Diceros bicornis minor: one gene and its partners. The protein of the gene in region 4 binds, or shares a complex with, the protein of the main gene of each other region. Links are inferred from orthologs where the notes say so. Each region holds a gene or a part of one and is shown on either strand. Other genes may lie near its edges.

What was found.
Region 1: the proteins of GNB1 (region 4) and KCTD5 are in contact, whole or in part, in a cryo-EM structure (PDB 8U7Z), measured with the Homo sapiens proteins. The link is inferred for Diceros bicornis minor from reciprocal best matches to the Homo sapiens genes GNB1 and KCTD5. Residues at the interface, in NP_001269468.1 of Homo sapiens: Arg52, Gly53, Leu55, Lys57, Tyr59, Gln75, Asp76, Gly77, Lys78, Thr87, Asn88, Lys89, Val90, Ala92, Pro94, Leu95, Arg96, Ser97, Ser98, Trp99, Met101, Leu117, Gly131, Asn132, Val133, Arg134, Val135, Thr143, Tyr145, Gly162; in NP_061865.1 of Homo sapiens: Val157, Arg159, Val160, Leu161, Gln162, Cys163, Gln164, Glu166, Glu167, Gln170, Met171, Thr174, Met175, Ser176, Asp177, Trp179, Ser190, Tyr191, Val205, Lys207, Leu209, Glu219, Ser221, Lys223, Ala224, Leu227, Gln228, Arg230, Gly231, Ser232.
Region 2: the proteins of GNB1 (region 4) and GNGT1 are in contact, whole or in part, in a cryo-EM structure (PDB 7L0P), measured with the Homo sapiens proteins. The link is inferred for Diceros bicornis minor from reciprocal best matches to the Homo sapiens genes GNB1 and GNGT1. Residues at the interface, in NP_001269468.1 of Homo sapiens: Leu30, Ile33, Thr34, Ile37, Val40, Ile43, Met45, Arg48, Arg49, Trp63, Ser84, Tyr85, Thr86, Phe235, Pro236, Asn237, Asp254, Arg256, Ala257, Gln259, Leu261, Ser279, Lys280, Ser281, Gly282, Arg283, Leu284, Leu300, Asp323, Gly324; in NP_001316355.1 of Homo sapiens: Met31, Val33, Lys35, Cys36, Cys37, Glu39, Val40, Arg41, Tyr43, Val44, Arg47, Ser48, Asp51, Pro52, Leu53, Val54, Ile57, Asn62, Pro63, Phe64, Lys65, Glu66, Leu67.
Region 3: the proteins of GNB1 (region 4) and FFAR2 are in contact, whole or in part, in a cryo-EM structure (PDB 9CM7), measured with the Homo sapiens proteins. The link is inferred for Diceros bicornis minor from reciprocal best matches to the Homo sapiens genes GNB1 and FFAR2. Residues at the interface, in NP_001269468.1 of Homo sapiens: Arg52, His54, Leu55, Asp312, Ser334, Phe335; in NP_001357016.1 of Homo sapiens: Arg37, Gln38, Pro39, Gln40.

Annotation. Positions count from the first base shown.
Region 1 is NC_080765.1:45,803,208-45,810,841, forward strand, and holds the start of KCTD5 (BTB/POZ domain-containing protein KCTD5), read right to left. Parts: upstream 3,205-7,634; 5' UTR 3,190-3,204; coding exon 2,938-3,189; intron 1-2,937. UniProt on the Homo sapiens protein: Its interaction with CUL3 suggests that it may act as a substrate adapter in some E3 ligase complex. Does not affect the function of Kv channel Kv2.1/KCNB1, Kv1.2/KCNA2, Kv4.2/KCND2 and Kv3.4/KCNC4.
Region 2 is NC_080742.1:31,204,458-31,211,926, reverse strand, and holds the start of GNGT1 (guanine nucleotide-binding protein G(T) subunit gamma-T1), read right to left. Parts: upstream 3,114-7,469; coding exon 3,018-3,113; intron 1-3,017. UniProt on the Homo sapiens protein: Guanine nucleotide-binding proteins (G proteins) are involved as a modulator or transducer in various transmembrane signaling systems.
Region 3 is NC_080773.1:9,227,562-9,234,116, forward strand, and holds FFAR2 (free fatty acid receptor 2), read right to left. Parts: upstream 2,001-6,555; coding exon 1,017-2,000; downstream 1-1,016. UniProt on the Homo sapiens protein: G protein-coupled receptor that is activated by a major product of dietary fiber digestion, the short chain fatty acids (SCFAs), and that plays a role in the regulation of whole-body energy homeostasis and in intestinal immunity.
Region 4 is NC_080752.1:22,670,543-22,678,187, forward strand, and holds the start of GNB1 (guanine nucleotide-binding protein G(I)/G(S)/G(T) subunit beta-1), read right to left. Parts: upstream 3,185-7,645; 5' UTR 3,044-3,184; intron 1-3,043. UniProt on the Homo sapiens protein: Guanine nucleotide-binding proteins (G proteins) are involved as a modulator or transducer in various transmembrane signaling systems.

The DNA of each region.
Region 1 (7,634 bases), on a different chromosome or scaffold from region 4:
ATTTACAAAGCACTTCCGGGAAGGAGCATTACACCTGCCTGCCCCCAAAGGAATGTGGGAGAGAAAAATGGCCTAGACAGCCAATGAGCAGATGCTGAAATGAATAACGCAGACATAGCCCACTGGAGGAAGCCCCAGGAGGAAGTGAGAATTCACACTTGGGCTGTCTATAAAGAGAACTTCCTGGCAGCAATGGACCCAGAGTCAGAACTTGAGACAAGAGGGTAAGGGTTTGGGAGCTCGGGGCCTGGTGGGAGTGGGTCCCAGGCTCAGTCCTGAGACAGGGAACGTGAGGACTTAGGGGAAGGGGAACCAGTGGCAAGCGAGCTCCCCAACCTTCCTAACAACCAGTCTGTTGACTGCTTTAAAAGCACTCCTCCAAAAAGCATCCTATAACTCCACCTCTCCCACTCACCACCTATGGAGCTCCCCACCAGACAGTCTGCGTTTAAGAGCAAGCTTCAGGCACTCTCCCAGTGAACTCCAAAACCATCAGGTTCCTGAAAGGTTCCAAGTCTTCCATTTCTTGGAACTCCTCCCCCTTAAATCTCCCTACCCAACCCCTATCCAAGGGCCACCTTCTGCAAGCCCAGGTGCTCCATAAATACTAGTCAAATGCCCAGGAGGAAATCTTCCACCAGGTTGTGCTCTCAGTCAGCCCAGGAATAGGGGCCAGGTATGCTCTCATTAATCTTAACTATGAGGTCAGGGCTTGGAGATTTTTACATGTGAATCAACATCCTGTTTCTCTTCCACCCTGTAAATACTAGCGTCCCACTCCCCCAAATATCTCCAGCCTCACCCTCAGGCTCCTCACTCAGGGTTTAACTATCTAGGAGTGAATCTCTGGGACATTCATTTTTTGTGTGCGTGAGGAAGATCAGCCCTGAGCTAACATCTGATGCCAATCCTCCTCTTTTTTGCTGAGGAAGACTGGCCCTGAGCTAACATCTGTGCCCATCTTCCTCCACTTTATATGGGACGCCAACACAGCACGGCTCGACAAGCAGCGCGTCGGTGCGCGCCCGGGATCTGAACCGGCGAACCCCGGGCCGCCCCAGCAGAGCACGCGCACTTAACCGCTTGCACCACTGGGCCGGCCCCACTGGGACATTCTTTTATCAGAAACAAGGGGGGAAAAAACTGAGAAGACCGAGTATCTTTTACATTTTCTCATTTGAAGTAAAACGCTACCATGACTAATGCAAATTAGCATTACTCTTTCTGGCAAATCCACATTATCTGTGACTAAAATTAACCCTTATTTACTATCAACTATTTTATGAGACAGAAACCGTATCTAAATTTCAGTTTTACAATTCAGAAATCAAATATATTTAAGTGGATGCTGATAAAAAAAAGAAACTACAACATAAATATATTGTGATAGATTAATTACCCTCTCCCAAAGAACTCCTATTACAGTAAAGCATAATTTTTTAAGTAGTCCTGAGACAGTAAAATAAAGGGATGAATCGACTTAACTGCGCAAGCTACAGCTTATCGGCTCTGTATTAATTGTTTCAGTGGTGAATCGACAGCCATTGCCTCAAAACAAACAACCCAACGGACAAGAACAATTTAAAACCTGACTCAATATACAAAACAGGAACGCTTCAGTAGAAATACAAGTGAATGACCCCTAAGACTCTGTTTAAAAAGAAAAACAAAACAGTAAAACATAGACCCACACTATAAAAGAAAAATCACAACTGACAAAAGCCTATTTCTATCCTGGAGAAGACTGTCATTTTCTGGGAGGTCAATCCTCTAAGAGTGGAGAGCTCAGACAAATGAGCAATGGAAATAGCTGAGGGGGGTGGGCGGCGGCACCAGGGGACCAGAGCGCTGGCATCTCAAACCCTGATTCCTACCCATGATGGGTGGTTTTGTGGTAACTCAAGAATTCTCATTTCCTGATCATAAGGTCATGCCACAGGGAGGATGGTCTCCGTCAGGGTTCTCGAACTTGAAGAGAGATCTGAATCTTTCTGGGAAGCCTTATGTCTGGCAAATGTTGGGGTGGCAAGGCACAAGGCCAAGTGCAATTATGCAGGCTCAACTGAAAGACCCTGGCAAGTTAGAATAACACTTGTGAATTGCCCAAGACAAATATAGTAATAGCTTTTTCCAACAACGCCTTCCCTGAGTTTCAATCCTGTTCAGTGCCTGAGATACTCTTCCTCGGTCACACAGGTCTTGTAAAGTAAAGGTAATCACCAAAATAGTTTCTATTACCACCCGTACAACAGTGTGAACATTAAACTTGATGAAAGACAAGCTGCAAACTAACCTAGAAATTCCTATCCTTTTGCCAGGGCAGTCGGAAAACTAGGCTAATTAATTAGAAAGCAGACTGAAAAAGATTTCCCCCCTGGCCCTTCCTTGACACCCCTAAGCCACCCCTTAATATGAGCAGCATTCCCTTTGAACAATCATTCTATGGATGGCACCCTCTGAGAGCGCTGAGTGTTGTGGCTGAAGACGGTGGAGCGCCAACTCTCTAAATGCAAGTCACTGGCAAAGGCAGGCCACCCGTGAAACCCCCCCACGCCAACGGTAAGTCAACCGCCCGGAATGTGAACAGACGAGAACAGCGCCAGGGTTCCGCGACTCCAGAACCACTAAGTACCCCGGCGCGGAGAGGAGAAGGTGTGCACACACCAGGGGCCAAAGAGTCGAGGGAGGAGAAGAAAGCAGACTCACAAAAAAGTCCGGGGTCTGGGTAGCCTCCTCCGCCACAGAGCAGAGAGGACGAGACAGAGACGCCTCGAGGTGGCGTGGCCGGGGATCCCCGAAGGCAGTGGGCGCCAGGGCGCCATCCCCTCCGTCCCCGGCCCAGGCAGGGAGTCGGGGGCTCGGGCCGAACTGTGGCGGGACGGTCTCCCCAGCGCGGGCAGGGCCCAGACTCTCGTGGCCGGCCCGCGTGGCCCTCACCTTGTCCGAGTCCAGGTCGGGGTCGGCCTGGCACAGACGGTACAGGAAGGATTTCGGGTCCCGGCACAGCGTCTGACGGGTGGTGAGGAAGTAGGTGCCGCCGACATTCAGCCGGACCCACTTGGACACGCCGCCAGGCCGCTGGGCCAGCGCGCCGAGCCCCGCGCTGCAGCGGGGGCACAGGCCGCCCCCCAGCCCCGCCCCGAAGCAGCCCGGGGCCGGCGGCAGCAGCTCGCAGTGATTCTCCGCCATGATCCCAGCAAGCACCGCCACAGCTCCCCTCCACCGGAAGCGTCCGGTCTTTAATATAGTCCTTCGAGCTCTGTCCCGCCCACGCGGCCGGCGTCACGCAAGAGGCGGAAGTTCCGGTCCGGAAAAGCGGCCGGCCGTGCCCCCTTCCGGCCCGGGCCGGCCACGGCGTGGTCCCAGGGCGCCCACGCGGGCGAGCAGCGCGGGGACCGGCGACCGAGTGGAGAAGCGCTCGGCAGCCTCCGCCCCGCGCGTGCGGCGCGCGGACGGCCGGTTCCCGGCCCAGAACCCAAGTCGCGACCACGCCCGCCCCGCAGCCCCGGCGAAAGGAAGAGCTGCGGTACCAGCGAGCGTCTACACTCTACATGCTTTTTTATTACAAGACTACCGAGCATACGTGGAAAATTCATCATCCGGTAACTACATCTAAAGCACAAATATTTGAAAAAAAGAGAATAAACAGATTCATTAAATTATGATATGATTAAATCATTGACCAAATAGAAAATTTATATAATAAAGCCAGAAAAAAAGTTGTAAAATATAGTTTACAATAATTATTCACATTCAAGGCTGTACATCAATACATACAACAACGTGGCCCCGAACATGAATTCAATCCAAATAATTCATATATTAGATTTTAAATAACACAGACTGAACTAGAGGCCAACAAGAGCCAGCAAATAACCTTATATAAGAATAAAAATACAAAAGTGTATATCCTAATATCATTGCATTATTTGTTTTCATAAGTTTTTTAAAATTTTTGCTTTGCCTGTACATCACAGTTACAGCTACAGACCAGGTAGAGAATATTACACATGTTCTCACTGCCTGCCACCAACCTGAAAGACAGCTAACATACTATTTATTGATTCATCCTATTTTGTGTTAAGGAACAGCTGCAGCAGCTCTAAATACTGCAAGAATTTAATTTGCCAAGGTCCAATCAAACTTCTGATCATGATAGAGGCTTTTCACCAGCAAAATGACCCCTATTCATTCAGCCAGACCGTTAGACCAGGGTGGATTACACAGCTAAAAAAGGTTTGCCTTTGTAAAAAGTTCTCTGTACACAAAGTTTGGTGTTTCTTCATATTGAAGAAATGAGTTATGGGGAAAATTCAGGTATACACGTAGGCTCATTCAGCTGCCCACCACGGCTGTCTGAGCTACAGATAAAACTGCTCTTTGCTGGACCGGCTTCCCCTCCAGACCCACTCTCCACAGGCAGCCTGATTTACAACCTCGCAATCATGGGCCAGCAGCCTGCGCCCCTCAGAGGCTCTGGGAGTGCCTCTTGCCCTGATTTAAGGCACTTGCCCTGTAGGCCGCCTCAAACCCAGGGCCACACCCACTTGAGTCACCATCAGTTCATTTCAGGTTTGGATATGAAAAGAAACAATGTGGAAAAACATGTATAGGGCAACATCTCCAAGAACAGTACCTTCACCGCTCTCTCCCAGTGGCTGCAGCCTCTGTAGTCAGTGGACCCGCCGGGGAGAGGGGCTCGGGTGTCAGAGGAAGGCAGGAGACCTAATTCTGAACAATTCAGCCATACTCTCTGGTAGAGTTAAGTGGCACTGAGCATGGCACCTAGAAAAATCTCTCATGCATGTTTCCTCTCAGAATCAAGAGACTCCAAACTTAAGTGGAGAAATTAAGAATGAAACCAAATTTGGGTGGTCTGGGCTTGAGGACAACTAGGCAACCTGCGACACTGTGGGTGAGGAGAGGGGAGAAGCCCTTAAACCCACAGCAGCCAGGACCCACTCCACAGTGGGAAAGCCTGGCCACAGGACAGTCACATTCTAGTGAGAAAGCCTGGCCACTGGCTCCACTGAACCCAAAAGACATTCTGACAAGGTCCCACGACGTGAAGAACATGGGGACAAATAACACTTGTGTGAAACCCAAGTGTCTACGTGGTTTCTTTTTCAAGTAGAGCCTTTGCTTTTACCGATTCCAAATGGCCCAGTGTACTTTCTGAGTCTATGAACTTCACTACAAATCATCCACTAGCATGTGGCAAGGTCAGTTCAACACTTTTTATCTCTGCTGACTGTGCAGATGCAAATTCAGTACCATTGTGGACACAAAGTAGGAGATTCTGAAAATATTACCAAGCACTTGAAAGCCACAGCAGCAGGGATGGGAAGGTAACTAAGATGCAAGCATAACCAGATTCTTTCAATGAAAATAAGGAAATTAGCTTTTGGAAGAATCTGTCACAAATGAACTGCAGTAATGACATCATTTTAGCATTAAAAAAAAGAGAGAGCAGTCTTACTCAAACATTCTTTGGAACATACAGCTTACCAGAAATGGATGTGTTCAGAATCTGTAGGATACAACTAAGAAGGTTCTGTATTGGAACTCTGAGCATCTAAGCATCAGATCAAGACAGAGGAAGAGAGATTTACCACCACCTTTAAAACTAACAAAACTCTTTGACCCAAAAATACCACTTCTAGGAATCGGGGTGGGGAGATTCAGAGTCAAAAGCCAAAGATTTATAAGGATATTCATCGCAGCATTATTTAAATAGTGAAAAACCAGAAACCATCTAAATGTTTCACAACAGGGAAATGGTCAGATAAATTATGATAAAATGTATAACATTAAACTCTACAATCATTAAAAACAATGTTTTTGAATCATTGTTCATATATGAAGACATGGGGAAATGCTTAAGATAAAATCATCAAGTGAAAAAAGCTGGATGCAAAATGGTATATGTTGTATGCTCCCAGTTTAGTTTAAAAAGGAAACAACTGTGTGTGTGTGCAGGAGGGGCAGGCTATACACCAAAATGTTCACAGTGGTCTTTTCTGGGTGGTGAGCCTACCGTTGATTTTTTCAGAAAACAAATGTAGTATGAAAGTACAGTCCCCTGGAGCCCCCGTGCTGGCACACTGCCCTAGGGGGGTCTGTGCCACAGGGCTATCTCTTGCAATTCCTTCAGGCGTGGGCCACAAATACCACCAAGTGGCCTGACGGGGTGGGAGTAGGTGCAGTTTCCACCAGCTTTGGCATGACCCTAAGAGCCATCTTTCTCAAAGCCAAGTCTGTAACAAGCCTCTAGAGAGTCAAGGTTCGGAATGGCAGGCCGGCTGCGGGGCCGTTCACAGGGTGGGGCTTTGTGCTCCACATGGGGCTGCCCACCACCCTGGTCGGGTCCACAGAAAGAGGGAAGGAAACCACCCCATCCAAACCCGGCTTCCTCCCGTTGCCAGAGAGAAGCAAGGCACAGTGGGCTGCCTGAGCCAGTGGAGACCACAGCCCTCCTGGCCGTCCTCCCTCCCCTCCGTGCCAAGAGAGGCCACACAATGTGGGACCATCTCTACTTGGCGGGTGTGGCCCCTATACTTGTCCTTGCCCTCTCTCAGGAAGACACATGGCACCTGGACCTGTTAAACAGGGTGTTTTCTTTCTCACCTTGGATAAATCCACATTTATACTTCCATATGTCTGTGTATGCACCCAGACTGACACCCACGTCCACCTCTTAGAATGTAAGGCACCTGCACGCTAGGGTGATGGCTCTAAGCATGAGTTGGATAAAACTAAAGTTGACATGAGTAAGTACAGGGTAAGAAAAGATTATGTACGGGCCTAGAAAAAAAAAAGAGGACTCTGAGTGAGAGGAGAAAGGTGACCTACAGAGAAGGGCTCAGCTGTCACTGCCTCAGGGAAGGGTAGTCACTTCAGCTCTGTCAGCTGTGAGCTCAACCCTGAACCCCTTATTCTCTGGTTTCAGTAAGATGGAGCTTGTCGGTTAAGCCCAGGAGGTAGTGGCGCTATCCAGAGGGAAGAATGGAACGGAAGATTCGTCTCTCCCCAAGCAGCCCAGCTGAGTACTCTTGTTAAAGCCAAATATCAGCTCTGCTTGTTTCCCTGTGACCAGACACCCAGGAAAGACACTGTGCAAAAGCGGCTTCCGAACTGCACACACAGACGTGGATGTTCTGAGGGGGATGAACTATAAACACGGGGAGTAAACCTGAAATCGAACTCCTGAAAGGAAGGTACAAGCAAGACTCACTTTGTGAAGAGCAGGTGAGCATAGGCAAGCCTTTTCAAAAGCGAGGAGGAGGAAAGAGGGAGCCTGACTTCCAACCACACGCCCATGGCAGTGCTCTGCTCTCCGGGGCGCCCCCAGGGCAGGCACACCCCCAACACCTGGGCACCTGAGACACACACTCTCACTCACTCTCTCTCTCTCTCCCCCCTTCTCGCCTGGCTCTCACAGAGCCGTGGACAAGGCCCAAGCAGAAACCACTGCAAACTTGGCCACCACCTCCGCTCCCATCCAAACCCCTCCCACTACCAAGCACAATGGAATCCCCAACATGCGTACTTTTTTCCCGGTTTAGAGAGAGCCACTCATCACTAAAAGTTTGAGAAATACTCGACATTGTTCCTCTCAACTTGGACCACTGGTC
Region 2 (7,469 bases), on a different chromosome or scaffold from region 4:
GCCTGGCCCCATGGCCTAGTGTTTAAGTTCGGTGCACTCTGCTTTGGCGGCCGGGGGTTCGGTTCCCAGGCGCGGACCTATGTCATTTGTCAGTGGCCATGTTGTGGTAGCGACCCACAAACAAAATAGAGGAAGATTGGTACAGATGTTAGCTCAGGGCCAATCTTTCTGAGGAAAAAAAAGCTGTTTCAGGGAGGCTTATCATAAGTGTATATAGTTTAATACAGGATTACATGGCATGGTGGCAAGAGCATGGACATTGGATTCGGGTCATCCCAGGTTTGAATTTCAGCTCTGCCCACTTACCAGCTGCGCATGTATCCTTAGTTTAGATAGTTCATCTAAGGTTTAATTACTTCATCTATGAAATAGGAAAAGCAACACTGGTTGCATTAAGTGCTTGGCCTACAATAGATGCTCAACCAAATGGTAGCTATTTTTAGCTATTACTACAAAGATTGTCTTTAGTCTTTGCCTATTACATTGACTTATAGTCATTGCAAATCTGTCAGCTTTAGAAACTGGGTGCAAAGAGTTGTCTTACTCTGACAGTACTAGTGCCGACAGCGAAATCGAGTTGAGGCATATTATGAACCAGTCTGGTTCACAGATATCAATAATAATTTAAAAATTAATAATAATGGTAGAAAGCAATTGCTATGTACTAGGCACTGTTCTCAGAGATATATATATGTTATCCCATTTATTTCTCCCAATTGCCCTCTGAATTAGATGTTGTTACTATTCCCATTTCCAGAAGAAGAAACAGAGGCACAGGTAGATTAGATAACTTAGGTGAATGTTACACAGGGAGGAAGTTGTGCAGCCAGAATCTGAACCAGGGGTATGGTTCCAGCGTCTATCCACTTAACCATACTGTAATGACATTACGCCATCCTGCGTCAGAGCTATGGGTTCAGGACCTGGAAGTTCTGTGTGTGTGTGTGTGTGTGTGTGTGTGTGTGTGTGTGTGTGGTTTTGGCAGTCTGATATTAAATTAATTTGACTTCCAAGAGCAAGGAGACGTTGAGTAACAGGGAAAAGGAACCCAAAAACCTGACAGATGGTGATGTATATGATGTTTACCCAAAATAAAAATTCCCAGGTGAACTTGCCACAAGTGAATAATAGACATAAAGGTAACCAAATTGCCTGCAAAACAACAATCCTGAGTATATAAATAATAAAACAGCTTTTGGAAGTTTCAAGTAAAGAAGAAAAAATAACTCTCCTTTATCCCAAAAGTTTGTTTTATTTTCCCCAAGTTATAAAAATAAGGATTTTAACTTTCGGGTGTGTATTTCAAGCTTTTGTGCTGTTTATAGATTTAACTTTATCTTTACAGCAAAACATGTTTTGTCTGTACGGAAAGGGCAGTGGGGAAGTTTGAGACAATTATAAACATAAAAAGAAGCCAGAATTCCAATTTTTATTGGGAGCAAGGGTTTTGAGCAAAGTATGAAGATAATGCAAACTCCTTTTTTTGCTTTGGCCTGATAAAGCAAAATGAGTTTTTAAAAAAATATAAAATATACTCTTATCACTTGTGGAGGAGTTTTTATTCTACTAACTTTCCTAAAGTGAAGAGATTTAAAGTATATATCTACATTTTCCAAGCTTCATTTTGTTTGGTGGAAACTTTTATTTCTTTGCCGTTTCTGCTCCTTCCAATGGCAGAGAACTCTTGGTAACCATTTCTAACATCTGTCAGATGTTTATAGGGGGAACAAGTGAGTTCTTGGGCTTGAACTCATTTTTACTAGCAAAGAAGGAATAGAATGTGCTCATTCATTACTGGCCATGACAGTGCTGAAGGGGATGAGGTCTTGGCTAAAAGTATTTGAACCATATCAAATAAATCAAATAAAGAGAAGCTTATCAATTTAGAGGAGTAAAAACAAAATGCCTATTTACATTGCTTCATTTTATTGCTTTGTTAAATATGGTCTCTGTCTCATATTCCTCATTTTCTCTTTCTTTCCTTCCTTTTTGTTTTAATAACTCTAGAAAAATGTAAAAACATTTTTAGCTTAGTGGTCATACAAAAACAGGCTAAGGGTTGGATTCGGCCCATGGAAAATAGTTTTCCAGACCCTTGATTTAGAGTCTAAATCAAGAGATAATTGTGATTATTAATTTTCTTAATCCACAATTAATTTCTTTTTTTTTTTTTTTGTGCTGAGGAAGATTCGCCCTGAGCTAACATCTGCACCAGTCTTCCTCTATTTTGTATGTGGGTCACCACCACAGCTTGGCTGCTGACTAGTGGTATAGGTCCATGTCTGGGAACCAAACCCGGGCTGCCGAAGCAGAGCGCACTGAACTTAACCACTAGGCCACGGGGCTGGTCCCAATCCCCAATTAATTTTATCTGAACAATTTATTTTTAGCTACACTGAGCCTCTTCAGTGAATGGTGTGGGGGAGGAAAGGTAACTTTTCCTCTACCCTTCTAGGTTCTGGCTGAGACACCCCTGTAATAAAAAAGGCAGATTAACAGGAGAAAAACATAAGTTTAATAACATGTATACCTCCTGTACACATGGGAGATACCCAGGAAAACTGAGTAACTCTCCAAAATAGCCCAAAACACCACCTTAAATACCATCTCCAGCTAAAGACAAAAGAAGATGTTGAGAGGTGGGGGAGCCAGTTATGGGAGGCGACCAGGAAAAGCCTAGGTAACACAAGTAAGGTTGTTAAGCAGATTGAAGTCCTAGCCTTCTGCATTGATAAGAGATGTAGAGTCATCCTTCTCTTACAGAGCAGGAGACACCCTTACAAATGGAGATTTCCCTTATAAATGTAAATGTCTCTTCCAAAAGGGTAACTTCTGCTTACCTGGTGTTCAGAGCTTCTCCTGTGCTGATGTTTCTTAAAAGTAATCAGCCTAAATAATCCTTATGCCAAAGACGCATATTTTGGGGTGGCACATTCTGCTCCCCTTCAACGGCATCTAACCTGGTGGCCACAGTATCTCTAGTTTAAAATAAAATTCAAAAGAGAGCAGCAGTTTACCAGCATTCTTTCCAGTGTCACTTCTTTCTTGAGCTGATCAACTTCCATCTTCAACTTGTCCTTTTCTGTCAGGTCCTCAATATTGATAACTGGCATCTTTCGCCTACCAAAAAGGTAGAAGGTTAGTTCATAGGTTCGAATTGCTGGACTTGATTCAAGTCAATGTTAGCCAACCCTTCCCTTAGCCCTTAACTTACTAAGTGAGCTGTTTCTTTCTTTTACTTCCTATGATAATCAATTTCTCATGAATGGTCTGAACAATTCTAGCACTGCACACTAGACTTGGAACTTTAAAGCTTCTTTATAATCTTCACTAATATGATTAAACCAAGCATTTGACTCTAAACACCTGCTAGTAGGTTCTTGGGGAGAGGTCAGTTTAGTCAGTATATAATCTTAAATACCCAAAGCTCTGCCTTTTCCCTGGTTTTTTGCACAGTGTAAAAATTAGGGTTTCCAACCCTCATCTCCAACTCCAAAGCCCTCCACCATATGATTTATGCCATTTAAGTTAGTTTGAGGTCATTCTGAGGACTGTCCATTAATCCCCTAAATCACTAGAGTATTATAATCTGGTATTAACAGAGAATCTTACAAAAGTGTTACTATAAGTTCTTTACAAATAGTGGATTAAAATATGAACCAATAGAATAGAAATATAGCAAACAACTTTGTTAATCAGAAATAAACTAGCATATTACTTAGAAGTATTTCTCCAAACAATAGCTAGAATTTGTATGTAACTGTCACAATGAATTGGATAGCAACAATGAGCAAACACAGAAAGTTAAAGTGGACATAGTGAGTCTGATCTACTGATGTGCATCGCAAAAGAATAGACTCTTCTGCACTCTTAGCAATCTCTTCTCCTTAATTAGATCAATGGGCAATGGGGAAGACAGTTCAGTCGCTAGTGGTACCTGTATGAAATGGAAAAGATTTCATTGTAGCCAAGTGGCGTCATACTTATAATCTCTCCTCTCTTGGTCCTTTCCCTTTCTCTTCTGTTTGTCTGGTCCAATTTTTATAATAATAAATTTTTATGAAAGCAGACATATTCAGGCTATATGCTATTTCAGAGAACAACTTAACATTTTACCTCTACATGAAAATATTTTGCTACTCATATATCAGCAATTAACCTATTTACTTGTATTTATATATTTCCTTGTTTATATTTCGAAAACCTCTGAGGAAACATTATTTCCCTTCTCGATTTTATAATAGCCTATTTTTCTCTGGGAAAGAGGTAGTTGAGCATATTTTTAGGGATAAATGTTTAAATATGCCAGCCCAGAGGTAAAAAGAACATCCTATGGGTACCCGAAGTCAGTGTTTCCTATACTTTTTATTTTTGCTATTCTTATTTTAAGAAAAAACATGACAACAAAAAGGTTATTTCTTCCTGTGTAATTATTGTTTGGTATTCGACAACCCATTCTCAATTTTATTCTTACCTTCCTTCTCACTTCCTTCAGACTATCTATAAAAATTCACAAACATCTATTTCTGCTGATGATTTTTACCTGTTGATATTGTCCTTTGCAGGACTTTTCTCCATTTTGGAAAGCATATTCCACCTGGCAATGGCTCTGACATCTCAGTGTGCATAAGAATCACTTTAGGAACTTGTTAAAATATGAGCCCAACCTAAGAGGTGTTAATTTGAGATAGGGCTTAGAATTTCATTTTCTTTGTTCCAGAGAAGCCCTACCATATTATTGCTAATGCAATGATCATTCACTGGCACTCGCTAGCTGTGGGGCCCTGACCAAGTTACTTAACCTCCCTGTGCCTCAGTTTACTAGGAAATAGAAACAATAATATTATCTACATTATAGATTTCTTGAGAGGAATAAGGATTGCATAACAGTGTATAGCACAGAGAAAGCACTCAGTACATGTTAGCTGGGTTACTCACTTACTCTGTACCTCTAGACTTTCAGACTGTGCTGTCTTACGTGTCACTTGCTAATAGGTGGCTTTATAAGGGCTCTGAAAGGATATCATGTGGACAGAACTGGCTCCTTTAGTTCCATGCGTAGCCGTTGCTGTTGCTGCCCTGCCCAGATCTCCCTTTCCAGGCTGAGGTACTCATCCCCCCAGCAGCTGCAGGTATTGACTGCCAAGAGCAAAGCTTCCACATAGGTCTGTCCTTGGCTGATGGGAATCACTTCAACTGGTGCTGTCTGAGAGATTACACCCTCAACTGGCCTCTGTGGGTGACCTGTGGCAAATAGCTGGCTGAAGTACGGTTCTAGTAGCTCAGACCACTTGCCTCTGGGCTGAAAACCTTGGTGTAATTGAGAACCTTCCAGAACCTCCCATGGGTTCAAAATGAAGCTAGGCTTCTGAAACTACATCTTTGCCTACCTTCTGCTTCATCCTGCTTTCTTCCTTCTTTCAGAGGTTTCTCCTGAGAGCTCACCCTCGAGAAATCACTTGGACAAAGATCCTTGTCTCAGGCTCTGCTTCTAAGAAATCTAAGACACTATGGATTGTAAGGACCTTTACAAGAGTATCTATATCTTTCGTAACTTTTATGTCCTTATTACTGCCTATTGTCCTGTATATTGTTTGTTATGCAGAAGAGAATCATGAAGGGTTGATAAGGTCACTTGCAACCTATGTCATAAATATTCCTCTAGACAGAGAAAAGTGCAAGGCATCTAACTTCACTTTATTAACAAATACTTTCTTAGTTCTAAAACACTGTGATTCACCATGTTTAATAACATTTTAAGTAAAACACACTTCATTTGGTGGAGGTGAATCTTAGAAAGTTTGAAAATGCTTGCCAAATGTAATGCCACCAGTCTTGTATGAGAAAATTCAAAGAGCGAGGATCAAAACTCTCACTTCCCTCAAGGACACCCAGACACACAGAGAACAGCAGCATATGTTGTCTGCATGGAGAGTCCAAATGCTCAGAGTTGTTTTGAAGTCAAGGGTTTAAAAGGATTCAGATATAACATCATCTAATTTACTCTCTATCCCCAAGCTTCCCCCCAAACCCTCCACCTGGGTGGCTCATCTCTCAGCTTTCAGGTTGGGCCATCTCTCCATGGGGAGTCCTAAGAGGGGCTGGATCAGATTACTAGCCCTATTACCAAGCATCCCCACCCCTACCCTCACCAGAATATAAGAGGAGGACTGAAGGTTCATAGACCAACAAGCTAAGGTAGCAGTTACATCTAACCCAGGGGACAAACATACCCCCTTTAAGTAGAAGATATTTGCCCTTGTGCCTCTTCCTCCATTCTGCACTACCATCAGAGGAACTAAGGTCCAAAAACAGTGAGAAGGGGAGACAGGAAGCATCTCAGTTGTACTCTATCCATAGAGCACTGGTTCTCAGTGGGGGCAATGCTGCCCCCTGGGGACCTTTCGAAAATGTCAGGTTGTTTACGGTTGTCACTGGTTTTTGTGGGTGTAGGTGAGGGATGTTGGGAGGATAGAACTACGTAGAGTAGCCTAAGTATCTCACTAATGTCTTTCAGAGTTTCCGTTAGGTTTCTTGGTAATTTATTTTGGAATTAAAATGGACTAGTCTAAAGTTCAAAGGCTTTTTGTTTGCTTTTACACATTACAGATAAGCATATTTTGAAGTAAGAAAACTTGACAAAATATTTAACTTAATAGGGGCTATATTAGGGGAAAAATATGAAAATTGTTATTATTATTTTTTGTGTGTGTGACGAAGATTAGCCCTGAGCTAACATCCGTTGCCAATCCTCCTCTTTTTGCCTAGGAAGACTGGCCCTGGGCTGACATCCGTGCCCGTCCTCCTCTACTTTATATGGGACGCCACCACAGCATGGCTTGAGTTGGTCCGCACCCAGGATCCAAACCCGTGAACCCCAGACCGCCAAAGCAGAGCACGCAAACTTAACTGCTGCACCACTGGGCCAGCCCCCAAAATTATTTTTTAAAAGTCCTTTGTTTTATACAGAGAATCAATCACAGATTCTTTGAAATAGGAACATTGCTAGCACAGTTTAAATATTCTGATTTAAACATTCAGTTTGACACATTTTTTCAGAAACAAATCCACTGTTTTATGTACAATAAACTTGTAATCATATGGGTATAATTTTCTTATCTTGTACCATTCTTTTTCATCTTGACATTATACTTGGGACTCTAAAAAAATAACAGCTACCATTTCATTTATTCATTCAACAAAAATTTACTGTGTGCTATTATGTGCCAGACATTATTCTAGATGCCTGAGGGTAGAACAGAGAAAAAAATCAAAGAACTTTGTGCACAAGGAACTTACGTTCTAATGAAGAAGGCAGACAATAAACAAGATAAAAAATAAAATGTATCAAATTTTAGATAGTGGTAAGTGCTAAGGAGAAAAACAAAACAGAAAGAGAATGAATAAGAAGTGTCAAGAGAAGTGTTTCAGTTTCTCTGAGACGACGCTATTTGAGCAGTGACCCGAAG
Region 3 (6,555 bases), on a different chromosome or scaffold from region 4:
TTTTGATGATGGGAAAACTGCATGTTTCTAAGCAGGAGGGTAATGTGTTTGAAGCCCTTGTGATACACTGATAACTCCTGAGGCAGGACTCAGCCTGCATCCTCTTTCTAAGTCCAGTCTCTCTCCATCCATCTAAACACGATTCTGTCTTACTCCCTCTCCTCACATCTTTACCTGAAAATGTTGCTGTGGTTCGGATGCATCCTTCCCCCTTTGCTGCTGAGTCTGCTTCTCCCTCTCATGTTTGCCCTCCCTGTGCCTGCAGAAATGTTACATAAACCGGGGGCTCGCGCTTCTGAGTTTTATAATCTTCGTTTTCAATTTGCCAGATCAGGTTGTCTTGTCCTGAGCTAGTCAGTGTCAACGTCTGCCTGGCGGGTGCCACGCTATTCCTGACCTGTGTGGGGTGCTGTGGAGGGAGAAGACGAGACCCAGACCTTAGCAGCTCCCGGTTTAATGGGGGAGACAGATACACACGCGAAGACGACTGGACCATACTTACGAAGCAGCAGGTCCAGTCGGTACAGTGCAAACCTAGATCCTCAGAGGTCCAAGCCCCCAGGCCTCCCTCCAGTCCCTTGGCTCAGAACCTTCCCAAGTCTCCTTTGACCTCACTTAGTTTTTCTCTTCCATCTCTCTCCCATTGGCTTCTTGCCAGCATCAACGGCTAGACCAGCGTCTAGGAGTTGTTGCAAAGCTTGCAGCAAGATTGCTTTGAGACTCCGCTTCAGCCCGATCATCCGCAGCTACCACCCACCTCACAAGGACTGGACTGACATTAGCTACATTGCTTCCGAAACAGTGCTGCTATGCCTAACCATTTCTTCTTTTGCCATGGAGCTGTGCTCCTTTGAGAAGGAAAATTCAGGAAGGGATACCAAACTGGTGAGAGAGATTTTTGCAGTCCCAGTAGTGGACTGGGTCTGAGGATTCCTGAATCTGGGACAGACCCTCATGTCTCCCTCTCCCAGCCTCCTCAACTCGCACGGAGCCGAGTGTCTCCAAAGGTCCCATCCCTAGTCTGTGGCGGAGTCAGAACTTGGCACTCGGTCTACTGGACTCACACCCCTGACCCCGTTGGTCACCTCCACCGACTCTCTGCCTCTGAGTCCCAGCAGGGAGGATCCCTGGTCCCGCAGCACCTGCAGCCTTTTTTCAAAGGCCCTGCGCACAGCCGAAGAAGAGAAATAGAAGAGCAGGGGGTCCAGACTGGCATTGAGGGAACAGATTACCACGGCTTCTGCCCGCCACTTGGGGCTTTTCTTGGTGTGAAACCCCACCAGGTGGGATATGTTATAAGGCCCGAAGCACACCAGGAAATTAAGGAGCGTCACGATAGCCAGCCCCACAGCTCGGCGCCGCCTCTGGGCCCCCACATGGGGCTGGGTGAGCAGGATCCATATAAAGCGCCAGTAGCAGAAGATGGTGATCACCATGGGGATGAAGAAGAGGACGAGGCACAGCTCCAGCCGCACGGGAAGCACCACATCCAGCTGCTCTTGGGTGAAGTTCTCATAGCAGGTAACTTCTAGATTTGTGGCCTTCTGGGTTGAGTTAAAGTACTGAACGATGACCACGATGGTGCAGTGACCAAAGGATATGATCCAGGCGACGAGAGCAGCAACCACTCCATACACAGGCCGGCGGGACAGCTTGTACTGCACGGGGAAAGCCACTCCCAGGTAGCGCTCGACGCTGATGCCCGCCAGGAGCCACGTGGTGCAGTAGATGCTGCTGTAGAAGCCAAAACCCATGGTGGCACAGACTACCTGAGGCAGGTACCAGCGGAAGTCAGACGCAGCCTCGATGATCTTGAAGGGCAGCAGCAGCAGCAGCAAGAGGTCGGCCAGCGTCAGGTTGAGCAGGAGGATGTGGATGGGAGCGGGGTGGGGCTGGCGGACCCGCCCCACAAAGGCCCACAGGGCCAGCAGGTTGGCAGGGAGACCAGTGAGGAAGATGATGATGTAGAACGTGAAGATCAAGGAGCTTGGCGTGTCCATTCTGGAAGACGATGAGTAAGGGCAGGCAGGAGGCCCCACTCACAGCCTGCAGACCCTCCTCTGGCTCAGGATGTGCACATCCTCCCTGGCAGGCTCCTCTTCCCGGGCCAGGGCCTTCTGCTGCCACCACTGCTAGCTCACACACCTGCCAGAACTGCCCAGAGCAATTATTGACTTTGCCTTGGGTGGGAATTAGGCAGTAGTTATTACGTTTGCCGTCATGCGTCTGTCAGGGAGACCAGCCCTTGGCTTCCTGAGGGAATTCCCCCTCTGGGTTCCCAGCCACTCTCCTTCTCTCCTCGCAGATACAGGAAGATACTGTTATCAGTGTCTGACCTTTCTTAAGTCCCTTCCTCAGCCAGAGACCTGTGGAGAGAAGAGGCAAGCCTCATCACACTGAGGAGAAAGCCACAAGATGTCTTGCAGGAGAACTGGGCTCTGAAAACCCAGGCCCCATGACCCAATGCTGGCTCTCCACGGAACCCGCCACCCGCCAGGAAGCAAATGCCCAGCCCCCAACCCATCTCCCCACCTTGTTTTCCTCTCCTTTTGCAGAACACAGATTCGCCTCCATCTTCTCCTCCCCGTCCAGCACAACTCTGCGCCTGTGTTGAAAAGGGTAAGCTAGTGAGGCACAGGGAGCGGGGAGCAGGAGGAAAGGGGAGCCAGTAGTATCTTTTGGGCCTTGTCCCCCAAGAGATTTTAGAGAATATTCAGAAAAGCCCACAGGCAGTAACCGGCTCCCGAGCCTGGCATTTTGACTAGAAACAGAACTCTCCTCAATGGGGTGACTCAGTTTCCATTTGGTGGGAACCCTTGCTGCCCACACACGGTCTGGCCCCTCTATCCTCTCTCTGGGGTGGATGCCCGGTCTGAGCTTCCTTGGCCCCACACTTGCTCCTGTCTCCGGGTGTGATCCTCCCATTCAGTTTCTGACAGGCCTCCTCCTGCCCCCAGCACCTCCCCTCCATTCTCATCCCGGCCTCACTTCCCAGAGCCAGCACCGAGCCAGCTGCCTTGCCTTGTCTTTGCTCCGGATGGATGGCTTCTTGGGATTCGTCCTGAAGGAAAGTCTGAAGGCTCCTGGGAGAAGGGAACAGAGCTTTAGCCACTGGTACTGCACATGTCACACAGGAAAATGTTGTAATGAACCTGGCTGGGAGAGAGCTTTTATACCAGCACGAGTCACGTGACCAGAGAGGGGAAGGTCGGTGATCCAGCGCTGGCTCCTCTCAGACCGAAGCAAAGGGCACCGGCCAGCATCTCCATTCTCCCCCTAGAGATCCCTGCTCCGACTTCCAAACCCAGATTTTCTGTCCCTAGTTCCTGAATTTTTTTCAGTCCCAGGCATTTTTCCCATTTCCCAAGTCAGATTATCTTATCTTCTCTTTTCTAGGCGATTTCTTCTGTAATTCTACTCATTTTCAGAAAAGAGGTTTCCTACTTCCTTTTATTCTTCAATTTTTTCCTTTCTGTATGGTCTCCTGCCCTCAGCCCCCAACAAGTTTCTTCCACCCTCTCGGCTGAGACAGATTGGTCTCTCCTAGCCTGCATCTTGTTCTGGTGGAAAGAGCGTGGGATTTAGAGTTGGGCGACGTGGGCTCAAATCCAAGTCTCTTCATGGTGGCCTTGGGCAGATCAATTTTCTGAACTTTAGTTTACTCTTCAGCCGAGTGAGGATGGGAATACTCACATCCCAGGATTTCTGTGGGGCGTCAGTGAGAGAGCACATAAAGGCGTATGGGCTGGTGTTAGCCTAGTGGACTCTCCGAAGTGGAAGCAGTCGCTCCTCCCAAGCTTCATAGAGAGTGAGCCACTCGGTGCAACATCCAGAGGCTGAGGCGCCGACATGCCAGCTGACGAGCAAGGTCGGGGATTCCGGAGGCCGACGCGCCTGTGCGGCTCTTTATAGGGGGGTTGGCGCTCCGTTCCTTCCCCGGATGTTCCCTTTCCCTGTGAGCTGGGCCCAACCCCTGAGCCACCCTGGTGCTTTTCTGGCTATGTCCGCCTTCGACCTGTAAAGCTTCAGGTTAGAAGCTCCTCAATGTCCTCTTGACACACACACCCAAGAAAACAGAGATGGAACATGGTTTCCTCATGACCTATGGGATGGTCTCTGCTTTGCTGTCTGTGGCCCTATCCTTACTCACAAAATCTCCATTCTTTCCCTAGGACTTATGCTTATTCGCTATTGTGTACTCATTCATTCATTCATTGAGTCATTAGTTTTGTGGCCCAGAACCCCAGGTGTCTTCACACTTAGCTTTTCTTTCTTTTGCACTCTGCTGTCCTCTAGAACCGAGGAGTTCTATCTTCTCGTTTATTTTCTTCCCCTGCACACACATGTGCTTCCTAGATATTACCAGGGGAATGAAGGAAGAGACCTTTCTCTGTTGCTTGCTTCCAAATTTATTTGTGCCGTTTTGCTTTTATGATTTTCTATAAATATTCCTGAGTATCTGGATGTAATTGCAAAGCGGAAACTTACTGGAGAGCAGGTGTTGAGGAGCATGACTGTTTCTTTATCGCCACCTGTCCTTCCCCCACCTCCTGCCTTTCTCATGTCACTGTCATGTGTCACCCATGTTGAAGATCCCCAGTGAACCCCCTCCTCTATGTTCATGGTAGTCACGAGGTCACATAATCAAAGAAACTTCTGAACTCGTGGTTCATAATGCCCACCTGTGTCACAGGAAAAGGGAAATACAACCTCTCGGGCTGAATTCAAGGGCTGAGCTGTCACAGTCTCTCTCAAGTTCGGTGCTCTCTCATCATCATTATAACCCAGCTTGATGGAGGAGGAACTTGAGCCCATTATCTAATGTTGTATAATCACTTTCTCCACTTCTTTATTTCTCCATCATCCCTCAGTCCACTCTAATCTGGGTTAACCCCTTTTTTTCCATAGGATCTACTCTTCCTAAGTTTAGCAGTGCCCTCTATGGTACTAAATTCAGTGGACATTTTCTTACTGTTTTATTAGCATTCAACACAGTTTCCACACCCTTCTTGAAACATTCTCTTTCCCTGAATTCTGATATGTTATGCTTTTCTGGTTTTCCTGCCTTTTTTTGGTCACGTCTTAATTGCTTTTGCCATCTCACCTTTTCCTACACATCCTCTAAAAGTTGGAGTTCCTTAGGACTTGGTTCCAGGTTCTTTCCTATCCTCACCCTATGCTGTCTCTCTGGTCTGTTGCATCCATTTCTACAGCGTCAATTACCATCTTACATAACACCCACTTTGGAATCTCCATCCTGGGCTTCTGTGAGCATCCACATCCACATGTCCAACTGCCTAGTAGACATTGCCATTTGGATGTCCCCCACGCATCTCAAATTCAGTGGGTCCAGAGCTGACTTTAGATCTTCTCCGTGAAAGGAGAGGTCTTTTTCCAGCATTCTCTGTGTTGGAGAATAGGATCTCTTCCCACCCCATTCCCTGAGCCGTAATCTTAGAGTCAATCTTAATGTCAATCTTAACACGATCATCTTCCTTACCCCCGAATGCAGCCCAACAGACTTCTCAAATACCTGTTGAATCCGTCCGTTTCTCTCCGTCTCCATTATCCCATCTCAGTGTAAGCCACCATCATCTGTTACCAGGAATTCAGCGGAGGCCATGACCAGCTCCCTCACAGCCGCTCACTCCCCTGGCAGTCAGCTCTCCACACTGTAGTTAGTGGGATCTTTTTAAAAAAGTCAAGCCAATTATACCATCCTCTTGTTTTAAAGCTTTCCAGAGGTTTCTCATTGCCTGTAGGATAAATATCAAAACCCTTAGTAAAGCCTGTAGGGCCTTGCTGGCACGGCCCTTGCCAACTTCCAGGCCTAGCTCCTGTTGCCCTGTCTTTCCTGGCTCTCTAAGCAAGACCAGCTCTCGCTTGTGTGAATGTGCCCTCTCTCCTCCTGCCAGGGGCCCTTGAACAGGCTCTGCCGGAAATGCTCTTCATTTCTCATCACCCGCTCCAACTCCCCCGCTAATCCCTAGTCTCCTTTTGGATACTCTCTTCTTCCCTCCGAAAGCCCTCCTTGACCTCAGTTAGGGTCCTTATTATGTGTTCTCATAGCATCTTTTCTATTGCTGAATAGTGTTCTGTTTTATGGATATTTTATATTTTATTTATCTATTCACCTGTTGATGGACATTTCTTTTTCCAGTTTTTGGCTAGTGTGAATAAAGCTGCTATGTATATTGTTGCTTAGGTCCTTGTGTGAATATGTGTTTTCAGTTCTCTTGGGCAAATACCTAGGAGTATATCGGCTAGGTTGTATGGTAAACTTTTTGTTTAACTTGCTAAGAAACAGTTTCCAAGGTGGCTGTATCGTTTTTATTCCCACCAGCAACATATGAGCATTCCAGTTGCTCTGTGTCATCCCTACCCCTTGGTGTTCATTAGTCTTAAGTTATAGGCATTGTAATTAGTGTGTCATGGTAGCTCATTGTGGTTTTAACTTGTCTTTCCCTGATGACTATTGATGTTGAGCATCTTTTCAAGTACTTATTGGCCATTTGTGTATCTTCTGTTGTGACGTGTCCATTCAAGTCTTTCGCC
Region 4 (7,645 bases):
TATACCAGGGTTAAAAAATTCTAACACTTTTTGTTCAATGCCTTACTAGACTTACGCTAAATAGGGGTTTCAAAATAATATGGTACGCCATATGGTCAAGTCCAGATAACAAAATTGAGACTATCTATTACCAATCCACTAATGCTAAAAGCCAAAGTCTGTAGACTAAGAATTTAATCCAATTTACAGACCAAATGAGCCAAATCTTTTGGACAGGGGAAAAAAAAAAAACAATAAAAAAACTATAATAAACGCCAATACTGCACGTCTAAAATAAAATCAGTGTTATTCAAGTATTAGCTAAAAGGCCAACTGATGGTAGATAAGTCTTATATCCTGAAGACCTTTCTCAAAGCTATTCGTAGAAATACAACTTTCCCCATCAAGCCAACTAATAACAGCCATAGAAATTTTTAGCAAAGTAAATGTAAAAGAACAAAGCTTTGAGAAATAAATTAACTCCTCATAAAATCAGTCTATTTCTCAAGTGGTCAAAATAAAGTCTACATAGGTTAATTCAAGCTTTGAAATCAAAGTTACTGGGCACAAAAAAAATCTGAAAAGGTTTTACCCTTTAAAAAAATACAATACATTATTCTGCAGCCTTTTGGCCGTCTTTTCAATCTCTTTTGAGATTAAAATTAAATCTGAGGATTTACTTCAACTCCCCAAAAAACATAACTAACTAAAGATATCAAACAGAAAGAAATCTGTAGAAAGAAATCTTCATTAAGGTATCATTAAAGAGCATTCTGCTTAGTACTTTGATGAGATACACACAGTTCCAGTGAAAACTCAGAGATCATACATGTCTGGTGGGTGTGTTCACTTAAGAAAGTAGCAATTCAGAGTCAAAACGGGCACAGTTGAACAATGTCCTCTCTAGGCTTACTCTCGAACCAACCACTCCAGCCAAAGATAAAACGTAGCCCTAGCACTAGCCCCGGAGCAGGGGGAAAGGGGAGTGAGCCACAGGCACAATCATAAAACTTAACTTTGTTTTCCTCAATTCTCACCTTCTAAGAAAAGTTTGTAGCACTTACAATGCCTGAGAAAGCAAAAGCAGGTAACACGGGAGTGAGTCTCAGGAATGACAGAGGCCTTGCAGTCCAGCCTCACTCGGCAGCAGGAAATCTCCCCCACAGGATCCTGACAAGATCGGCCTCTGGCCCTTCCAGTCGCACTCCATTTCTGGACAGCTCTAATTGTTGGAGAGTTGAATCAAGCCAAAAGCTACCACTCAGTTCTGCCGTGTGGAGGTTCTCAGACCTGCTTCCATGTTGATGGCACCAGCTCTGTCCCCAGCCACACACTCAGTATTATTAAGCAAGCAAAAAAGGAACTGCCTGTTCACTTTCTTTTTGCAATACATACCTTCCGGAAGAGTCCAGAATAGACCCTATCTATCTTAACAGAATGCAAACTAAAACTTTACTTTCAAATAAAGAATGCTTCCACCCCCAAAAAAGACTACAGCTTCAAATTAGAAAACAAAGAACTCAGATAGAAATCTTACGGCTAACGATGCTCCAAAGACCTTGTCCACTATCTAGAGTTAAAAGGAACTTCTCACAAACCTAACACCTTATTTGCTAATCATGAAAAATAATCTACATATTTTTTTAGTTAATAATCAATCTCATAAGCAACTGCTTAATCATCAAATATTATTTGAGATCACTGTGTTACCAGATAGGCAGCAAAATGAAAACACAAAAAACCCACTAATACTCTCCAAACCAAAACCATAGATTAAGATGTCTACATCGTTTACGCATGAACTCAGTAACGTACTCCTGAACGGTAAACGTCCACCAGCTTCCCTCCCCAAAATAAAAATTCATACATCAGTCTTCCCGCGGTAGACGAATCTGACAATCCTAACAAGCTTCCATAAAGAGGAATTTAGCAGCTAAAGCTCACACTGCTTCTGCAAGCTAACTATGCAATTTAAAGCACTTAAGAAATGTTCGAGCACCTTTTGAATCAAATATCAATTTGCAAGGGAAAGAGAGAAGGCTTTTCACAAGTCCGATGGCCGAGCCACCACCCTGGTGGCATTTCAGCACAACGCCTCCCCCGCCCCCACCCCGCTGCCACCGAAAAGCCCCAGGGGCCGAAGGAGGGCACCCAACCCGCGCTGCTCCCTCCTCTCCCCACCCCGGTCCTGACAAACAGCGCACATGGAGCCCCACACACAACCGGGGCGCAGGGGGAGGCCGGGCGCGCGCGGCTGACAATGGCAGCGGGGCGGACGCGCCATCTTGTCGCGGGGCCTGGCCTCGGAGCCATTCATTCGGGCGCGGGGACCCCGGCCCGGCCCTGCTCGTGCCCTCGGGGGGCCCCAGGCCACCCCCAGCCCACCCGCCCGCACGCTCCGCACCGGGCGAGGGAGAAAACAGCGAGAACGGGCTCGCCACGGGGCTGCCTGCCACTTCTCGGTAAAAACGAAAATAGCCGAGAATCGCTACAGGTTTGGTGCTCCCGGCACAGCCCTTTGTTTCTGCCCCAAATCCCCCCGAATTTCCGCGGGCAGGCGGGCGGCCGCTGGCCGGGCCCCAGCTTCCTCATTTCATTGTCCCCTCTCCATCGCGTCGTTACCAAACCGAACTTCAAAGTCGCCAGAAAAGCTGCATTTAAAACGCGGCGTCCTTCCCGAGCGGAGGACGAGCGCCCCCGCCCCCCGGGGAGCCCGCGCCCTTTGTTCTCGCCGCCCCGGCCCCGGCCCGCCCGCCCGGCCTCCCGATGACGGCCCCCGGACCTGGACCCCGCACGCCGGGCCCCGGCCGGAAACCTGGACCCAGACGCCAGAGCGGACCCCAGCCCGAGGCCTAGACCCCGGACCGGCCCGCCCGCCGCCGCCCTCAGGGGCCGCCTACCCCCGCCCCGCCGACCCCCCCGACCCTGCCCGGGCGGGGCAGGAAGACGCGGCGGGCAGCGGTGGGGGCGGGGCGGGGCGGCCCGGGCGGGGACCCGGGGCGGCGGGAGACGCCGGGGTCGCGGCCGGGGCCGGGCCGGGCCAGGCCGGGGCCGCCGCGCTCACCTCGGCGCCTCGTCCCCTGACGCCCGCGCCCGCCGCTTCAGCCGCCGCTCCGCGAGGTGGTCGCGCTCGGGCCGCTCCGCGGGCGCTGCGGGCAGATGCGCCGGCGAGGCTCGGTCCGGTCCCGCGGCGGCCACTCCACTCCCGCGCCCGCGCCCGCTCCCGCCGCCGCCGCCTCCGTCCGCCCCTCAGACGCCTCCAGCCATCGGGATGGGCGCGGCGGCCCCTGTCCGCAGCTTCGGGAAACCCCACGGCCGCGTCACCGCGCACGCCGCGCGCGCGCACGGCCCGGCGCTGGCATGCGCGTGCCCGCGCTCCTCCCCCTGACCCCGGCGCCGGGCCCGCGCACGTGCGCGAGCCGCTTAAAGGGGCCGTGCCGCGCCCTCGGGGACCCGCTCCGGGAGCCCCGAGGCTAGGCCTGGGCCTCTCCCATGCCCGACTGCGCGCCTGAGGGGCCGACCCGCTCGGTTCCCAGCCAGGCGGACGTAGGTGGAGGCTGCAGGGCGGGAGGCAGATCCTTCCTCACCCCACACCCACGCCCGGCGCTAGGCACCCCTAACCCTCACCCTGCACACGCGCCTGGTACATACACCCCGCACCCGGCATCCCGCACCCAGCACAAGCGCTCCGCATCGTATACCGCACCCGGTACCCGTACAGGAGCCCTGCACCCCGCACTGCACTCTGCACCCCGCATTGGACACCCCATACGATGCACTAGTGCCCTGCACCCTGCACAAGCGCTCCACACCGTATACTGCACCCCGTACTCGCACAGGCACCCTGCACCCTGCACACACACGCATGCCAGGTACCCGCACCACGCACACGTGCCCTGCGCAGGCCCAGCCCAGGCCAACCCTCAGGCCCGCAGGTGCAACGGAGTTGATCAATTCCTTCATGTAAGGCGGTGGCCCAGCGGGTTCCACGCTGGACGAGGTCGTGGGGTGGACGCCCCACTGCCGCGTGGACAAGGCCAGTCCCTGGGGTTACTGGTGAGGCTTGAGTGAGCTCAGGCCCGTGCAGGCAAGTGTGGCCTCGGGTGGTCAAGCCCAGGGCCCCCTGTCAGGAATGGCCACCTGGGCAGGGAGGTGTGACCACAGGAAAGTATCAGGAGGGAGAGATGGTCGACCCCTGCAAATGCCACTGAGAAGTCAGCTGGACAGCTGAGGATTGAAGACCCCCCAAGTGGGGAAAGGGAAGGGGACGGAGATGGGTCAGATGTCACCAGCCTGTAGTTTCTGTACAATGTCAATGTCAATATGAATGTCAATAGAACAGCCCCTGGCCCACCACCTCCATCTTTCAGCTGACTTCTGCCTCCCCACTTCCAACAGCTTCTCACCCCACTGACTTCTTCACTGAAAGCCTGCAGTCCCCAACCCTAGTCACCCTGCCAACCCCCTCAGCCTCCTGCCCCTTCTTCCCTGTGCTGCCCTTTCTAGATCAAATTCAGGGCCCCTTCTCCTCCAGCCTACAGGGCTTGGCTAAAGGAGGCTGGAGAACACACCCAAGAATGCAGCTGTCCCCTTAAACCAGGGCCACAACCTCAAGGGGCCCTATCACCCCTCCCGCCTTCCCCAGCCTGTTTCCCAGCTGCAGCTGATGTTTCTCTTCTGTGTGTGTGTGTGTGTCTGTGTGTGTATCTGTGTGTGTCTAGGGCAGCCCTTCACTCCAGCATTGGGCCCATACCTTCCCACCCACTTGAGGGCTGTGCTCCCTGTCCCCACCCTTAACTCCGCTCTTTCCTACCAGCCCACAAACATGTCCCCATCATCCTTGGAGCCCTTTCTCAATTCCTGGCACAGGACACTCCAGGCTCATCTTAGACCCTCCCAGTCCCATACCTGAACTCAGCCATTTCTCCAAGGAGCCCTGGTTCCTTTTAGTTGGGAATGGTATTTAGAAGCCAGGATCCAAGCTCTGAATGTGCTCACTGCTACTAAGGTGTCATTGCTTCCAGCGGACAGAGCTAGAGAACATATGTATGTATAGGCATACATGAATATGTACACACACACAAACTACCACCTCATGTAACCAATCTCCATCATCTCCAACCAGTCTCCACCCCGCCCTCCTCATTCGGCATGGTCTCTCACCTCTACTGGGCCACCACAGTCCTCACCCCTGCAGGGATGTCCACCTTGCTCAGCTGAGCAAAGACTGAATGTCAACCATATCATTTCTCTGTTCAAAACCATCGACAGTTCCAACCTCCAGGTCCCTCTGCCCTCCTCTCTGTCCTGCACTCCGGCTTCTCTCTGTTCTGCTACACACATAGCCCACCACGTTCCATGCTCTGGCCTTTTGCCCTTGTGGCTCCATCTGCCGGGGAGGGTCTCCTCCATAACCTCCAGTCACCACAGTGAGTCTCCCTTGGCCCCCCTCGACCACCACCGACCTCCCCAGTGCCTCTCAGCTTCACTTTTCTTCAGAGCTCTCACTCCTGGACTGCACATGGTTCATTCACGGGCTGTTTTGCTGACTTCCTAGACTGCTGCTCCAGCAGTGTGGGGCCCACAGTGGGTCCTCAGGGAACGTTTACGGGGCGGGTGAAAGGGGTGTGAGCCACCCTCTGTGTTCCAAGTGAGGGGGCACAACTCAGCATGAGGACCACAGGCTGGGGGAGCAGGCACGGTTGGAAGAGAATGGTTACTGTGTCCAGGACGAGGGCCGGCAGCCCGGGGAGTGGAGGTGGGTGGTTCTGCAGCACTGCCCATTGCTGGCGAGGAGGAGGTGGGTGACGCACAGTCAGAAGTATGGGTGTCCTGAGCGTTGGCAGGTGGGTCCCAGAAATGATGGACCCAAGGCCCCAGACTCAGGGTCAGAGACATTCCTCCCAATCCAGTGGGTCTGATGCCAACCTTCAATGCCTACCTAAGTCCAGGACTTAGAAAAGTAGAAATGAGGAGGGAAGGAAGGGGAGGAGGGAGAGGATGTGAAAGGTGGGGGAAGGAAGGCAGAGCCACAGCAGAGCAGAAGGAAGTGGGCAGGGGGGTGAGTGGTCTCTGCGGAGACCTCTGTGCTGCTGTGGAGATGGCAGGAGGCCTGGGGGACCCTCAGAACCCCCACCCTGCCATCCTAGTTCCCGGCAAACCCACCCGAGGGCCATGAGGGGCACCAGGCTGCAGGCCTGACTGGGCAGCAGGTGTGCCGGCAGGGCTGGCCCAGGGCTCCCCAGTCCCACAGGCCACAATTGGCCTGGCAGGGCACATCCCCACTTATACCAGGGCCACAGGGCAAGTGCCTGCCACAGCTGTCCAAGGTTTTGGGGTGCAGCCCTGGCACCCTGGCTAATCTGTAGGTCTGCAGGGTGCAGGGAAGGTCAGGGCCTTCCCTGGAACTTGCCCTGTGGCCAGGCCTCAAACCCTCCTTTATGTGTTTATGGACCGGGTATGAGGGGCAAAGTTGAGGGGAAGGCTGGAGGGAAGGAGAAGGGGACATGGGGACTTATTCCCAATCCCCTGCACAGCCTGGGGCCTCATCCCCCTCCAATGCACACAGGCCACAGAGTTAGTCCCAGGGGTCCCTTCCCCACCCCTAGGCCAGGGGACATGTGCCTTGGGCCTTGATCGGCTCTCAGGAACCTACAGGAGCTTCCAGCTTCCGGCAAGGGCCCTTTAGACCTCAAGGGTCTGAAGGCTGCTCTGGGGACCCTGCCCTCCCTGCCCCCTCACCACCCACTCCACCCAGGCCTCCTGCAGTTTTTGGCTCCCACTGCTGCCCAGGCCCAACCTCAGTGGGACACAAATCAGGGCCCCGTGGTGGACCCACTGCCCGCTACCCCAAACTGTGGAGAGCTCACACCCAGCCAGCCAGGAACCCTGGCTTCTCTTGATTTCCTAGCAACACTCCCTCCGTCTCTAGGTAAGTGGCTTAGAGATCAGCCTGTGGTCCTGAGTCCAGAGCTGCACACGAACAGCAGTAGCCAGCCCAGGGCCAGGCCAGCCAAGCAGCTGCAGGGTTGAGCAGGGCCCCAGGGTGAAGGCGGCTGCCCCCGTGCCTGGCTCAGCGCCTGGCCATCATTAAAACCTGGGGAGCGAGATGCATAATTCAGATGCTCCTGCCACATCTGCTCTTTAGCAGGAAATGGTCTTCCGGGAAAGTAGGTCTTTTTAAATCTGAATTATTCAAACTGTGCACGTGACCAGGACCTGCTGCCAGGGACCTACTCCAAGCCTGGCTTTGAAGGGTCTCCAGGCGGCAGGGGGCAGCTCCCAAAGAGTCTGTCTGTGTCCTGCGGAGCACTGTCTGTTTCTCCACCACGTGGCCCTCCAGTCTTTGCTTCCAGTAAGTGAGACAGGAGCCAGACCCTGTCTCCACGCCCCAGAGGACGGAGGACAAGGACAAGGCAGGGATGGAAGGGTGCAGTATGTAGGTAATCCGGAAGAAGCGCTAATTAGTTCCTGCAGGCTTCCAGAGGCAGGGTTTGGTGACAAAACGGGGTCAAGATAGTGAGGATGGTAAGGAGGCCCCTCCTCATTCCTTCTCTCTGCAGACACTTACCGAGTGCCCACTGGATGCCAGGAAGGCCCAGGTCTCTGACTGCACATCTGTCTGACCAGCGAGCCTCCTGGGAGCCGGCCTGGGGGTGGGTGGCCT